2 linked regions of the Tamandua tetradactyla genome follow. Each later gene encodes a partner of the first gene's protein in a complex. Links are inferred from orthologs where the notes say so. Each region holds a gene or a part of one and is shown in the gene's direction. Other genes may lie near its edges.

Region 1 (7,169 bases):
CATTCTCATAAGTTGTTGTTTTTCTATTTTTCATGGGCAGGCACCAGTAATCAAACCCAGGTCTCCAGAATGGCAGGTGAGAACTCTGCCTGCTGAGGCACCGTGGCTCATCCTCTCATAAGTTTTTAATAATCCATAAGAGAAAAAATAATTTCTCCACTGCTCTTAGTGCGAGCTCTCTCTGCTGAGGCCAGGGCTACTGAGGCCAGGGCTAAAACATTGCTGAAGGTCATTTGGCTCTGAACCCATCCTTCCCCTCCAGCCCCCAGTTCTGGGTTTTTGCTTCGTTTTTCTTTTTGTTTGAAAATGAACATCTCATTGCTCCCAGCATTTAGAAAAGTCTCTATGATTCTCTACTCAGAGGTACTCAGGTTGCTGCTACTGTCTCATTTTCTGGAGAGTGACCTGCTTGTCTCTTTCGCATAAATAAAAATGATTTTATGGAACATTTTAGGATATACTGGACATAATTGATTTGTTCTTGTTTTTAAAACTAGTTAATAACATATGTCCTTGACTATTACCATGACCACCTATCTATCTGCATAAACATTTACTCAAGAAATATTTACTGAGCACCTGCTCTGGGCCCAGACAGTTTTGTCCCAGGCACTGGGTCACTGAGGAGGGGGGCTGACTAAGAGCCAGTCTCTGGAATCCCCTGCCATTCGCTAATTGTGCTCTGTTGAGCGATTACTTGATTATTTATCAACTTTACACTCTTTCTCAGTAAAAATGTGGGTGATCATACTAATATTTCCCCACAGGGCTGATGGGGGATGGAAAGAGATAATCCAAGTTGAGTGCTAGCACTAGTATGAGCCAATTTTATTTTCTGAGGATAAAGGGATGAATGATTAAGTGGTGTCCTTATCTCAAGGGACGAGGGCCTGGTGGTAGAGCCTGCAGGGCAATTACTCATTCCTAGGGGAGGGTGCTAGAGGGGTACTGATGGGTGAGGGACAGTTGTCCAGAAGGTAGTGCCAGAACAGGGAGGCAAGTAGAGTGCTCAGAGCACCAGGCATGGGGGACGCAATGCCAAGTGTTGGATGCAGGCAGCTCTTATGGCTGTGGGCGGGGTGTGCGTGAAGAAGGCCTTGGCAGCTGTGGCCAGGTATTTAAAGCTTAGCACCTTGGACTTGAACTAGAGGACAGAGGGACCTAGCATCAATTTCCACACCACCACTGCACCCCCTTTCAAGAAGATACTTAACTATTCTAGAGGCTACTCTTACACAAACTTCAGTTAGATGTTGCTAATTGCTACATTTTGCCAAACCCCAAACAAGACCATTCCTGTTAACCCTAAAGAACACCTAGGGCTTTATCTGAGATTCTACAAAAGTTTCACATGCTAAAAGATTACTTTCCAGAAGCCTACAACCTCCAGATGGGTTCTGAGGTCAGATAAGTCCTGCAACCCAGAGGGACCAGCCTCTCTAAGAACACCAACTAATTCCATCCCCCCATTCCACATCGTGGACACCCTCCTTCAACATGAAAAAGTTAGAATGGGCATAGCCCAAATACCCCTAAAGACTGGGAGAAGGATCACAGGAGAAGGAGGAGTTAAACCAGAGAAAATAGGAATTAACAAATGAATATGATTGCTGAATCATTATATTGCTATTTCTTTTTAAGTCTCCAGTATCTTGGAGAAGCTAGAAGGACAAACTTGAACTCGTGGAACTATTACCTACACCAGGCTCTGAAATCTGTTCTATAACTACTTGTTAAATTGTACCTTGAAATTTATTGCTTTTTTGTATATATATTTCACAATAAAAAATGTTTTAAAAAAAGAAGATATTAAGTCATTAAAAAACAAAACATCTCTCTCTCAGCCAACAGAGCAAGCAAACTCACCACCTTCCCCCTTTCTATGTGGGACATGACTCCCAGAGGTGTAAACCTCCCTGCCAACATGGGACAGAAATCCTAGAAAGAGCTGGGACTCAGCATCAAGGGATTGAGAAAACCTTCTTGACTGAAAGGGGGAAGAGAGAAATTAGACAAAATAAAGTGCCAGTGGCTGAGAGATTTCAAACAGGTCGAGAGGTTATCCTAGAGGTTATTCTTAAGCAATATATAGATATCCCCTTTTTAGTATAAGTATAGTAGAGTAGCTGGAGGGAAGTGCCTGAAACCATAGAGCTGTGTTCCAGTAGCCACGCTTCTTGAAGATGACTATATAAAGATACAGTTTTCGCAATGTGACTGTGTGATTGTGAAAACCTTGTGTCTGATGCTCCTTTTATCTATGGTATGGACAGACGAGAAAAACATATGGAATAAAAATGAATGCATAATAGGCAGAACAAATGTTAAATTGAGTAGATTGAAAAACAAAAAAATGGGACAAAAGAAAGTTGTATGGATGTTTGCTGCACCACTTAAAAAAAAAAATCTGTGTCTTTGGATCGACTCTCATTCATAGTGAATGAGAGTCTCATTTCATACTGATTATGAGAGTCTCATTTCATACCATAGTGAGGTGTCCCTGGGGGTCCTGACCCCTCTTTATTGTCTTAACCCCACCCTTCAGCCTTACCCACACTCCCTGCATTTTAAAGACACACATTTTCTATGTATTTGAGACATGGCCTTAACTATGCACATATCCTGGGAAAATATGTAGTGCTCTATGTATGTGTTTCTACTTTACCTATGTGGTCATCTGCTAAAAATCTTTTTTCTCTCTCAATAGAAAGCATCCACATGGCTACATGTACATCTTGCCTATAGCTTTGAATGCTTTAATATGTATGTCCATACATAATATACATTCAAGCTTTATTTATAATAAACATCTGCAATAACCGTGGTACATAACCAGTACGACATAGCACATCCATTAGCGGTGATTTTTCTGAATACAATGGGAAAAATGTTTATGACAGTGAAAGACAAAGCAGGCTAAATTGTCTTTCCACTGTGAAAACATTCACATAAAAGAACATATTCATACAGCCACAGGCTGGAAAGGATCAGAGAAAAAAACGAAACCAGCTCCGGAGAGCCAGGGCATGAGGAAGGGTTGTTGTCCGTTCTGGTGATGTTGTGCCTTTCAATTCAGCCTATACCACGGCTTTTCAGATAGTTTAATTTGGGGGGTGAGGGGTCAAGGTAATAGTTTAATTTGGGGGGTGAGGGGTCAAGGTAATAGTTTAATTTGGGGGGTGAGGGGTCAAGGTAATATCTGCCCCACCCCTCACCCCGCAGCCAGGAAGACTCCCTCTGCACCAGGGATGTCCTACACTCAACTTCAGCTGCATCTGTCTCAACCCCACTGCAAACAGTATTGAAGTTAAAAATCTGTTCCGATGGCTGAGATGGATCTGACAAATTTAACCATCTTCAGAATTAAACAAACAACAAAAAAGCAAAATGCATGAATTGTGGATGTTTCTCTTTCATTTTATGCAAAAATCAAACCACCCGGAGCTTGAGTTGACACGGAAAAACTGGGAGAATAATCAAGAACTACTAACAAGAACTGCCTCTGGGGAGGGGTATTACGGATCTGGAGTAAGAGAAAAATATACTTTTCTGTGAAGTATCAAAGAAATAATTTTCTTTCCCTTTTTTTTTTTTGAACCACGTACCAATCCTTACCTTTTCAATTAAAATTTTATTTGTGCGTTTAATATCTAAGTATCACGGCCTTAGCTTTTTTAGAAACCGCTTTAAATTTTTTTCCGTTTAATTCATGGCAAATAGTCTTCCCCTAAAGCAAACAGATTCATATTCTGAGATCTCAATTGCGCGCCTCTTTTAGCCGATGGAACTAAGTCCCAGTGGAGGACCCGCTTCCCATATTTTGTAAGTTCAGGTGCACACCGCAGCCTGGCATTAATTCCAGCGCAGAAAAAATCCGAACACCCGTCTAGGAGTTCCTTCACGACTGGGACGCGACAGCTACTGTCCCAACATGGGCTGGCTCCAGGCTGTCGGGCCCAGGCCCGGGGCTCCCGCGCGGGGTGCCCTGCCCCAAGGGTGCGGGAGTGGAGTGGGGGGAGAGGACACCTCGCCCGCGCCGATCACCAGGCGAGGGGAAAGGGCCGCCCAGTGGGGCGCCCCAGGCCAGGCCGCCGCGACCCCACCCCCGCCGCACCCGCGTCGCCGCGTCACTGCGCCCTCAGGGCGCGCACCTCGGCGTCTACCGCTGTCCCGGGAGCGGAAGGGGAGGCCCCGCGCACCGCCGCCATGGTCGCCGCGGTCGCCTGGGCCCGGCGCTAAATTCAAAACCCAGGCGGAGGCCCGGCTGCGCCCCGGCGGCTGGTTGGCTCCGGAAGCGGAACGCCGCGGGCCGCGCGCGCCACCCCCTCGGCGTCCGCAGTAGGCCGTTCTCCCGCCACTGGCGGCTCCCGAGCCCCGGCCCGCGAGCCCAGGGCCCCGGGAGCAGCGCGCGGCATGGCGGCGGGCGGGGAATACGGGGACGCGGGGCGCGCGCGCCAGTACGTCTTCCTGCTCCCAGGTAAACGCGGCCGCCCGGCCCTCCCCACCAACCCCTCTTCCCCGCAAACCTGCCGGGGCTCCGGGCGGGCCTGGGCACGTGGGAGCGGCACGGCCTTCCCTCGGGGACGCACTTCTCGTCTTGCTCTAGCCAGAAGCTGGCGTCTCAGGCGGGCTCCTTATGCACCGGTGGGCGGGAGGGCTGGGCCCGGCCTGCAGAGGGCTGGGTGGCTTCGGGGTCCCGGGGCGCGCTGCCTTGGGGGATAACTGGGTACCCACCACCGCGCTCGGCAGTTGGCCCGGCGTCCCGGGTCCGTGTCGGGTCCTGAGATCCAACAGGCCCGGAGTTGCCTGCGAAGACGGGCCAGGGACAACTGAGGTGTGAGATCAGTTTGGGGCGTAAAGGAAGGTGGCGGCAGCTAGGACAAGGGGGAGCTCTCAGCGACTCGGGCAACGGTGACCACTAGGCTGCCTGCGCCGGACCCAGCGATACAGGGCGTGCGGGGAACTGGGGCCAGGGCCACTCCGTTGCGACCCGAGAAAGCCCCAACCCGATAAGCTACCGAGTCAGAGGTAGTGGTTAGAGAGTGTGAGGCAGAAAGGTTTGGCTTTTGTATAGGATATGTTTAATGGTGTGACATTGGAAAGAAGGGCAATCTGCTGTTGACCGTATTTGTGAGATTTAGCGTAGAAAAATGCAGTGAGTACAGCGTGCAGTTTAGGTGGTTAATGAATGGTGTGTTGACACATTCCCCTCAAACTAGTAGCTGTTCTCAGCCACCGGAGTTCCAGGCCCACCGGTCGCCAGAGATTGGGGTCAGCTGAAATGTGTACCCCTTTGCCTCTGGTTTTTTCCACTCAAAATTGTGAGGTCCATCCATGTTGGGTGGGGAAGTGGTTTGGTTTGGCTTTGTGGTTTTGCTTTCGGGTGTATCTCATTGTCCAAATATGCATACTGTCTCTTCTCCAGTATTCTACATACTGCCGAACAGTTTCCAAAGTGGTTGTACCAATTTACACTCCCGCCACCCGTGAGTGAGTGAGCCTTCCTGTGGTGCCCTGTGCTCCCTAGAGATGCTTGTATAGTAAAATAGTGTGAAATTCAAGATTTCAGCTTAATTCTGCCAAAGGGCTACTTTTCTACATGCTTTACATTAGAAAAATCCTCCCTTCTCACTTCCGCCACATCAGTGCAATTGGATTTAAAGGTTATGAACTCTAATCACTCTTTCAGAATGCAATATAGGGTTATCATTCAGATCCCCGTACTGAGGGTAATTTGAGTCTTTTATTCTGTTCTGTTTTACTCAGCATTAACAGCTTCATTCTTTTTTTTTTTTTTTTTTTTTTTTTTTTTTTTTTAAAGAGAGAGGGAGGAAGGGAAGGAAAGACAGAGAGAAGGAAGGAAGGATGGAAGGAAGAAAGGGAAACATCTTTTAAACATTTTCTTGTTTTATTATATTTTGTTTGTTTGTTTGTTTGTTTCTTACATGGGCTGGGGCCGGGAATCGAACCGGGGTCCTCCGGCATAGCAGGCAAGCACTCTTGCCCGCTGAGCCACCGCGGCCCGCCCAACAGCTTCATTCTTGAAGTGTGTTTGCAGCCTCACTGTATTTAAATGCCTAAGACCCTAAATATCAATCAAATCCTGACAGTTGTAGGTTTAAAATGTCCACTGCTGTGCTGTGAGGAGAATTTCAGCCCTGTTCTTGTTCAGAGCTATAAGGAACTGTGACCTTAGGGCGGCCTAAGCCGCTGGTAAAGAACTGATGAAGAAAATAACTGATGAGGAAACTAAAGGGTCGGTCAGGCCGGTTCTGGAACAGTGAAAGTGGGCAGGGCTCTAACCTGTCATCCTTCTGGCTGGCCTTCAGTGCCACCTGCAGGCTCCCAGGGTAAGTCCACAAGCATGCTTCTGTGGCTCCTGCTGTGGAACAGCCGTTCTCAGGCTTGGGAGTATCAGAAAACCCAGGGGAGTCCGGCCCCACCCCGGAGGGTTGGATTCACTAGGTCGGGGTGGGCCCGAGAATGAGCATTTCTCACAAGTTCCCAGATACTCCCGATGCTGTGGGTCAGGTGTCCTGGGAACTAGGACCGGAAGGCCCCAGGTTTAACTTGGGACGTAGGACTTCGGTTTAGGATTCAGGTTTAGCATTGGGAGGTAAGGTTTAGCTTTGGGTTTGGGATTCAGGTTTAGGACGGGGAGATTGGTTGAGCTGTCTGTCTTGGGCCAGAATTTTCGAGGGGGGAGAGTTCCCATAAGCACGGGGTGTGGAGCCTGAATTCACAGAGGTATTGGTCATTTTCCCCCACACTCCCCACAGGTGGGAAGTCAATGCAGTTAGTCACCCAAGAGGAAGAGTGAACACCATAGTGTGGGGGGGAGGGGCTTAGTAAGAAAAGAGTTCATATAGAATTTTTCAGAATTATTTGATGGAGGCTCCATCTTAGAAAACTTCTGGGATATGAAGGGCTTACTCTGTATACTGATAAGTGAGCACATTGCCAACAGGCCAATAGAACATTGAAGATATTTATATCGGAAACTGAAGTAAAGTCACCTGACTTTGCCATGAGACTTTTCCAACATTTAATTCACATTTTTCATCAAGTTGCCTACCATGTGCATTGTGTTATATCTTGAAGAATGTATTAAAAAATACGATTTAGATCTCTTACTCTCTGGTTTTCCTTATCTCTGGCAAAGCTGAATA
Region 2 (7,090 bases), on another chromosome or scaffold:
ATCTTTTTTATTAAGTTGTTTCCATGGAGATGTGACCCACCCAATTGTGTGGGGGGGGATGTTTGGATTAGGTGGTTCCTTGGAGCTGTGTCTGCACCCATCGTAGGTAGGGATGCTTACTAGAGTCCTGTAAGATGGCACCATTTTGGAAAAAGCTTTAGAGCCCACACAGCCAAAGACCTTTGGAGATGCAGAAGGAAAACGCCCCTGGGGAAGCCCTTTGAAGAAGCCAGGAGAGAAAGCTAGCAGAGGTGGCCACGTGCCTTCCCAGCTGACAGCTGTTTCAGACCCACTGGTCTTTCTTTAGCATTCTCTAGGGGGCGCAAAGGTAGTTCAGTGGTAGAATTCTCACCTGCCATGTGAGAGACCCAGTTCAGTTTCCGGCCCATGCACTTCCCAAACAAACAAATAAACAAATGTAAAACCAAACCAAACAAAAGTCAACAAATGGTGCTATATGCAATAAGGGGATATTCACATGGAAAAAGAACAAAATGTGACCTCCACCATACAGCATAAAAAAGATATTTTTCTCTGGATGCCTTAGTTTGGACGTTTTAATGGCCTCAGAACTGTAAATGTGCAACTTAATAAATTCCCTTTTTAAAAGCCATTGCATTTCTAGTATATTGCACTCCAGCAGCTTTAACAAACCAAAACAATGGGTGAACCTTGAAAACATTATGCTAAGTGAAAAAGACACACACAGAAAGCCAAATATTATGTTATTCCATTTATCTGAAATATATAGAATTGGAAAATCCAAAGACACAGAGAGTAGACTTATGGTTTCTGGGGGCTGGGGAGGGGGATTGGGGAGAAACTGAGTATGGGATTTCTTTTTGGGTTGTTGAAAATATTCTGGAATTAGGTAATGCAATTGCACAATCTCATAAATATACTAAAAAGCTCTGAGTTGTAAAGTTTAAAGGGGGGGCTAGCATGTGAATTAAATCTCAATAAAAATATATTTTTTAAAATGACAGGGACTTGTTGAATATACAAAGGCAGGGAACTTGAATCCCTCAATGGACAAATCTGGAACAATTTGAGCAACAAAATAAATAATGATAGCAACAGATTAAAACCTGTAGAATAAAATAAATATCCAAGAGCCCATGCTGTTATAAATCCACAGTTGAATAAATATACGGGGAAGAAAGGACAGCTCCAGAATTCCAATTAATAAATACAGACAGAATGTTGGAAATAGAAAATCACCATCAGGCAAACACCATAGCGATAATTGTTTCAAGCAAGAACCACCGATGAATGTCTAAATAAGTGGGTAAAACTTACGAAGAGAAACTGGTTGCATAGGCATCTTCTGATTAAAAAATAAAAAATAGTGGCTTTTCAGAGGAGAAACCTGACACTTACCAAGTGGCCAGGGTTAACACCGCTATTTAATGAATGCAGGGATGTGAGGCATTGACAAGGGCACACTATTGCTTCTATGGTATTCCTGCCATGAATTCCTATCACCGATTATGGGAAAACATCAGACAAACCCCAATTAAGGGACATTTTACAAAAGAACTGGCCAGTGCTCTTCAGCAGTGTCAAGGTCAAAAACTGTCACAGATAGAGGACAAGAGGACATGAAAACTAGATGCAATGTGGGATCCAGAATCAGGACCGGATGCAGGCACAATTCTATAATGTCTACAGATTTAGTTAATGGTATTGTATCAATGCTAATTTCCTGGGTTTGATAATTACACTATAGTTACGTAAGTTGTTACTATTAGGTGAAGCTGGGTGAAGGGTACATGGGAAATCTTTGTTCTATTTTTGCAAGTTTTATGTAAATATAAAAACCATCTCAAACAGAAGCTGAAAAAAATGTGAGACAAGCATTATGTGTAATAGTGAAAGAAGTCGCTCTCAGTTCCACCCTTTAGTTCCAAGATCCTTGTATTCTGACTGAAAGAGAGAAACATACCCATTTTCATAAATGGGAAGAACATCTAGATAGAAGATTAATAAGGAAATAGAAAAGTTGAACACAACTCTAAACCAGCTAGACCTAACAGAGATCTATAGAACATTCCCCTAAGCGCAGCAGAATACACAGGATACTGTTAAGATTTTATTTTATTTCTGTTAAGCCTAAAGAACATCTAGGGCTTGGCTGTGCCCTCAATCCCGAGGCTTACTCTTGTGAAGCTTATGTAGGTAGCGGAGAAGCTTAGACTACCTATAGGCATGCCTCAGCGTTACTTCTGGAGGACCTCTGTTGTTGCTCAGATGTGGCCTAACTCTCTCTAAGTTCAACTCTGCAAGTGACATCATTGCCCTCTCCCCTAGGTAGGACATGACATCCAGGGGTGAAAGTCTCCCTGGCGACATGGGAGACGACTCCCAGGGATGAATCCAGCCCTGGAACTGTGGGATCAACAATTCCATCCTGGCCAAAAGGGGGGAAGAAGTGTCACTAATAAAGTATCAGTGGCAGAGAGAGTTCAAATAGAGTCGAGAGCTACTCAGGAGGTTGCGCTTATGCAAGCTTCAGGTAGCCCTTGCTACCTATCATAACCTGCCAAATCCTAATCAGGACCATTCCAGACAATCCTAAAGAACACCTAGGGCAATATATAAGATTCCACAAGGGTTTCAGGCACTAGAGAAACTTTCCAGAAACCTACAATCTCCAGATGGGTCCCTGGTCCAGATAAGTCCTGAAACCTAGCCCAGCCTCTCCAGAACATCAGATAGTTCCATCTCCCTACCCCATATTAGTGACAGCCCCTTCCAATGTGAAAAAGTTGGAATGGCCATAGCCCAAACACCCCTAAAGAGAGGTATGGAAAGATCAAAGGTGATGGTGGAGTTATACAGTGGAAATAGGATTTAACAAATGAATATGAACGCTGAATCATTCAATTGATATCTCTTAGTCTCCAGTATCTTAGAGCAGCTAGAATTAAAAACCTATGTATTTTTTACAATTACAATTACAATTACAACCCATGTCAAGCTTTGAAATATGTTCTACAACTAATTGTGGTGCAGTGCTTTGAAATTTATTGCTTTTTGGTATGTATGCTATTTTTCACAAAAAAGGAAAAAAAGTAAATTGTAATGATAAAAAAATATTTATGCCTTCTAGCCTCCTATATTCTGAAGCAGCTAGAAGGAAAAATCTGAGAGGATCTTTTGTTAGCCCATGACAAACTATGGGATCTGTCCTTTAACTACTTGTTGAAGAGTGCTTTGAAAACTATTGCTTTTTTATTTCTTTGCTTCGTATATGTTATACTATACAATAAAAAAGTTAAAAAAAACTAGGGTTCTATTACTTTCCTGAAACCTGCAACCTTCAGATGGTTCTTAAACCAGTTAAGTCCTAAAACTCAGAGAAGCCAGCCTCTCCGAACATCAACTAGTTCTATCCCCTATCCCATATTATCAGCACCCATTTCCAACATAAAAAAATTAGAATAGGCATAGACCAAACACCCCTAAACATTCAGAGCAGGATCAAAGGAGGAGGTATAACAGAGAAGGCAGGATTCAACAAATGAGTATAACTGCTGAATCATTATACTGGTATTTCTTTCAGTCTCCAGTGTCTTTTAGCAGCCAAAAGGAAAAACCTAACATTGTAGCACCAAAAACCATACCCAACTCTGAAATCTATTTTATACTCATTACAATACACTTTGAAATTTATTGCTTTTTTGTACATGTTATATTTCACAATAAAAATGTTTTGAAAAAATGAGGCTCCCCACAAAAAAGAAAAAAGTCTTCTGTATAACTAAAATCACCCAAACTCAGGTTTCGAAGACGAACCACAAATTCCAATAAAATATCTTAAATTCATTTGAGGAAGGGTTGCTATTCCTAGTAAGTTAACAGTGAGCAATCCTATACTTCAATATAAAAGGTATACTTTTCGGAATCCTCTTAGTTGTTTATAATGAGCATGTATCATTAAAAGCAAATGAAAGAGAATAAAGGCTGGGACTCGAACTCAAGGGACGGATCCTGCGGAGGCGCCACAAGTAAGGACTACACTTCCCAGCAGGCTCCGCGCTGACCCAACGCGGCCTCCCGAGAGGCTCCGCGCGCTTGACGCGCCAGCTTCGGCCTGGGCGGCGAGCAGCAGGATCGCGGCGGCGGGACAATGGAGAGCAGCGATGAGGCGGTCACCGAGAAGCAGCGCGTCCACGTGCGCCCCACCACGCTCCGCGGCGCAGCCCCCGCCACGCTACACCTACTGCCCTGTGAGGTCCCGCGGAACCGGCCCGCCCCCGTGGGCTGCTTCTTCACGCCCGCGGTCCGCCGGGGCCCGGACGGTGAGCGCTCGGGTTGGACCGCGGCTCCCGGCAGCCCCCGCGCGGCCCCCTGCGTCCGGCTGCAGCTGAGCCCCCACCCCTACCCCCGCCAGGGCTTCAGGTGTCGTTTCGGGGCCGCAGTCTTCGCGGCGAGGAGCTGATGGTGCCGCCCGGCCTCGTGGGATACGTGTTGACGATGGAAGAGGAGAGAGAGGTGTTAACAGGGCTCGAAGGGAAGCAGGACTTCTTGGGGGGTTCGCGGAACGCCGAGGAAGAGGAGCAGGAGCCGCTGGAGCGGGACTTCGTGAGCAAAGGGGGATGGGGCTGGAAGGAGGTGTGGGTGGGGCTGCGGCCGGGAGGCTGAGCCGAGCCCCTTCCCCAGGATCGCTTTATGGGGGCCACCTCCAGTTTCAGCCGTTTTACCCTATGGGGTCTGGAGACCATACCTGGCCCGGATGCTAAAGTGCGTGGGGCCCTGGCGTGGCCAGGCCTGGCTGCAGCGGTGAGTAGAAGGGTGGACCCTCTCCCTCCCGAGCCTCTGAGACCTCGCCTATTCCCCTCCCGTGCCTTACAAAGTTAGAGTCCGGTTGTCCAGCATCTTGCTGCCTTAGTGGATTCGGGTAGCACAATGGGGTAGGTAAAAGTCTGGGCCTCTTAGGCTGGTGAAAGACAGTTTGGCTTCCCTGCCACTCTTTTCTGGCCTATCTAGAAGTAAGTATCATTCCAGGCAGTTGGATCTCTCCCGTAGGTAGGCCACCCAGTCACTGTATTTTAGAAATCCAACCCTGGAGGTGACTCCTTTGCAGATTCATGCACAGGTGTCTGAGGACTGAGAACCAGCGCATGAAATTGAAAGCTGCGGAATCCTTCACTCCAATAAACCAGTTCTTCACTTTGGAGCCACTGATCCCATCAGCCAATAAACCAACTCTTCACAACACCTGTGAGTCTGTGGCACCTCCAAGTCCGAAGCTGGCACAGCCCTCTTCCCCCCAGCACAGGAACCTTTCATGACTCTAACCTTTAGAAACAATTTATTACCAGGGGTGGGGAAACTGGGGCAAGAGAGGCTAGAATTCTGCAGCCTATACCCACCCCAACTTCTACTTTACAAGAGAAATCTTTACACCCAACCAGCCCTCTGAACAGAGGATCCCCCCCACCCCCCATCGCACTATACACAGCTGCCTGGTCCCTGGCTCAGAACAGACTGGGTTTGCAACCAGTTGACCTGGGAGTGGGCCTGAGTGCTCAGCTTGCCTGGTGCTGGGCACCAGCCGGCCCTGTCCTCTCCTTTTGGGGCAGTCAGCCCCATCTCCCTTGAGGTGCCTCTCAGGACCCCATGGAGGCAGGATGGGCTGTTAGCCCCAGTTCTGCCAGCTGTACTGGTGCTGCCACAGCAGTGCCTGGTCACCACTTTCCCCGCTTGCTCCAGTCCTTAGGAGTGAAGTGCAGACACTTGGAATCAATCCGAAGGAGCCGCTTAAGCATAGCCCGTTCGTGCCCATCCACGATGTCCTCTGACAGAGTGAGGATGTACTGGCCCTGGGTAGGGGAGAGAGGCAGACGGGGTCAGCCCACCCTAGGCCTGCACTCTGTGCACCCTATCCCACTCCACCTGTCTCCCCATGCCTGCCCCCTACCTTGTAGTAGTTGATGAGGTTGAGGTACTGCAAGGTGGAGATAACATCCTCCTTCTTGATGCTGGTGATTTCACTAATCTCGCTGTGGGAGGGCAAAGGTCAGGTCCTCTAGGGTCCTCATCTCTGCCCCAGAGGGAGTGAGAAAGCCCAGGGACAGACAGGCCATGCCCTCCCCAGATGCCTGCTTACTTGATGGTTATCTGTGGCCTCTCCCCACTCTCAGACTTCAGGCCCATCAGGATCTCCAGGATGGTCTGGGACCAGTAGCTTCGATAGGACAAGAGTCCAAGATCTGAGAGGGGCTTCTCAGGGGTCCCCGTTTTCCCTTCCACTTTAGAAAGTTCATAGCCTAAAGCAATGGAGTAGGAGAGGGTAAGTGGTCACAGATTAATGCAACCAACATTTAAGAGTATGGTTTGCTGGTATAAACTGCCTTGCCCCATTCCAATCCTGCCACTCGGTACTTCTGTGACCATGGGTAGATTGCTTGTCTGTTGTGTCTGTTTCCTCATAAAGGACTAACACCTATTTCTTTAGTCACCTATTTCTTTGGTCTGTTGTACAATTAATAACAAATGTCAAGTGCTGGCACCTGGCTGTTCCTTTATGGAGCATTCACTTTTCACCCAGGTGCTCAGAAGCCAGTGAGGGCAGAAGGGTGCAAGGTGCAGAGAGAATGGCTTATGGGAAGGAGATGCCATATATTTGCCTTGGGTCATCCCAGACTCCCTGCTGGGTTCGGATATGTGAGGAGGGAAGTGAAGCAGGCCCCCATCCAGAGTCCAGGCCTGAGGATGTTTGAATTCTCAAACCCTCCCCCTAGCTGAGGCCTTGGGAGAGTCTTCTGCTGTCCTAGGGTGGCCTGATTGGCTGGTTGTGAGGACCCACAGAGGAGGAGCACTCTTCTAAGACCAAGGCCATTTCTCCCAGTGATGGCCCTGAACTCTGTAGTAGCCCTTTCCCTTCTACCAGGCTGCGATCTAGGCACTGGGTCCTGAGGCATTTCTGCTGGGCACTGGCAGCCAGCTCCCGAAGAGACCCTCAGACCCTCTGAAGCCAACTGGTTACATATCTTGGCAAGATCTTCCTTCTCCCATGTCAGGGCCCTAGAATGTCTCCACTATCTTTAAAAAGCCTTCCTCACCCTTAGAACCAACCAGTCTC

Evidence for each region. Proteins that work in one complex are often made in the same cells at the same time.
Region 2: the proteins of RNASEH2B (region 1) and RNASEH2C are in contact, whole or in part, in a crystal structure (PDB 3PUF), measured with the Homo sapiens proteins. The link is inferred for Tamandua tetradactyla from reciprocal best matches to the Homo sapiens genes RNASEH2B and RNASEH2C. Residues at the interface, in NP_078846.2 of Homo sapiens: Arg14, Gln15, His16, Val17, Phe18, Leu19, Val20, Ser21, Glu22, Leu24, Leu35, Met36, Phe37, Val38, Lys39, Leu52, Glu62, Lys64, Phe66, Glu68, His70, His71, Ser72, Trp73, Phe74, Ile75, Asn76, Gln77, Ser78, Val79; in NP_115569.2 of Homo sapiens: Ile9, His12, Arg13, Val14, His15, Leu16, Ser18, Ala27, Thr28, Leu29, His30, Leu31, Leu32, Pro33, Cys34, Glu35, Val36, Ala37, Val38, Asp39, Gly40, Pro41, Ala42, Pro43, Val44, Gly45, Phe48, Phe63, Val75, Pro77.

The regions. Positions count from the first base shown.
Region 1 is NC_135330.1:106,847,645-106,854,813, reverse strand, and holds the start of RNASEH2B (ribonuclease H2 subunit B), read left to right. Parts: upstream 1-4,166; 5' UTR 4,167-4,413; coding exon 4,414-4,477; intron 4,478-4,526; exon of another isoform or gene 4,527-4,618; intron 4,619-7,169. UniProt on the Homo sapiens protein: Non catalytic subunit of RNase H2, an endonuclease that specifically degrades the RNA of RNA:DNA hybrids. Participates in DNA replication, possibly by mediating the removal of lagging-strand Okazaki fragment RNA primers during DNA replication.
Region 2 is NC_135335.1:8,802,200-8,809,289, forward strand, and holds the start of RNASEH2C (ribonuclease H2 subunit C), read left to right. Parts: upstream 1-4,090; 5' UTR 4,091-4,132; coding exon 4,133-4,304; intron 4,305-4,396; coding exon 4,397-4,587; intron 4,588-4,665; coding exon 4,666-4,785; intron 4,786-5,089; coding exon 5,090-5,116; 3' UTR 5,117-5,693; coding exon of another isoform or gene 5,694-5,828; 3' UTR 5,829-5,926; coding exon of another isoform or gene 5,927-6,008; 3' UTR 6,009-6,115; coding exon of another isoform or gene 6,116-6,275; 3' UTR 6,276-7,090. Other genes in the region: histone acetyltransferase KAT5, read right to left, coding at 5,694-5,828, 5,927-6,008, 6,116-6,275.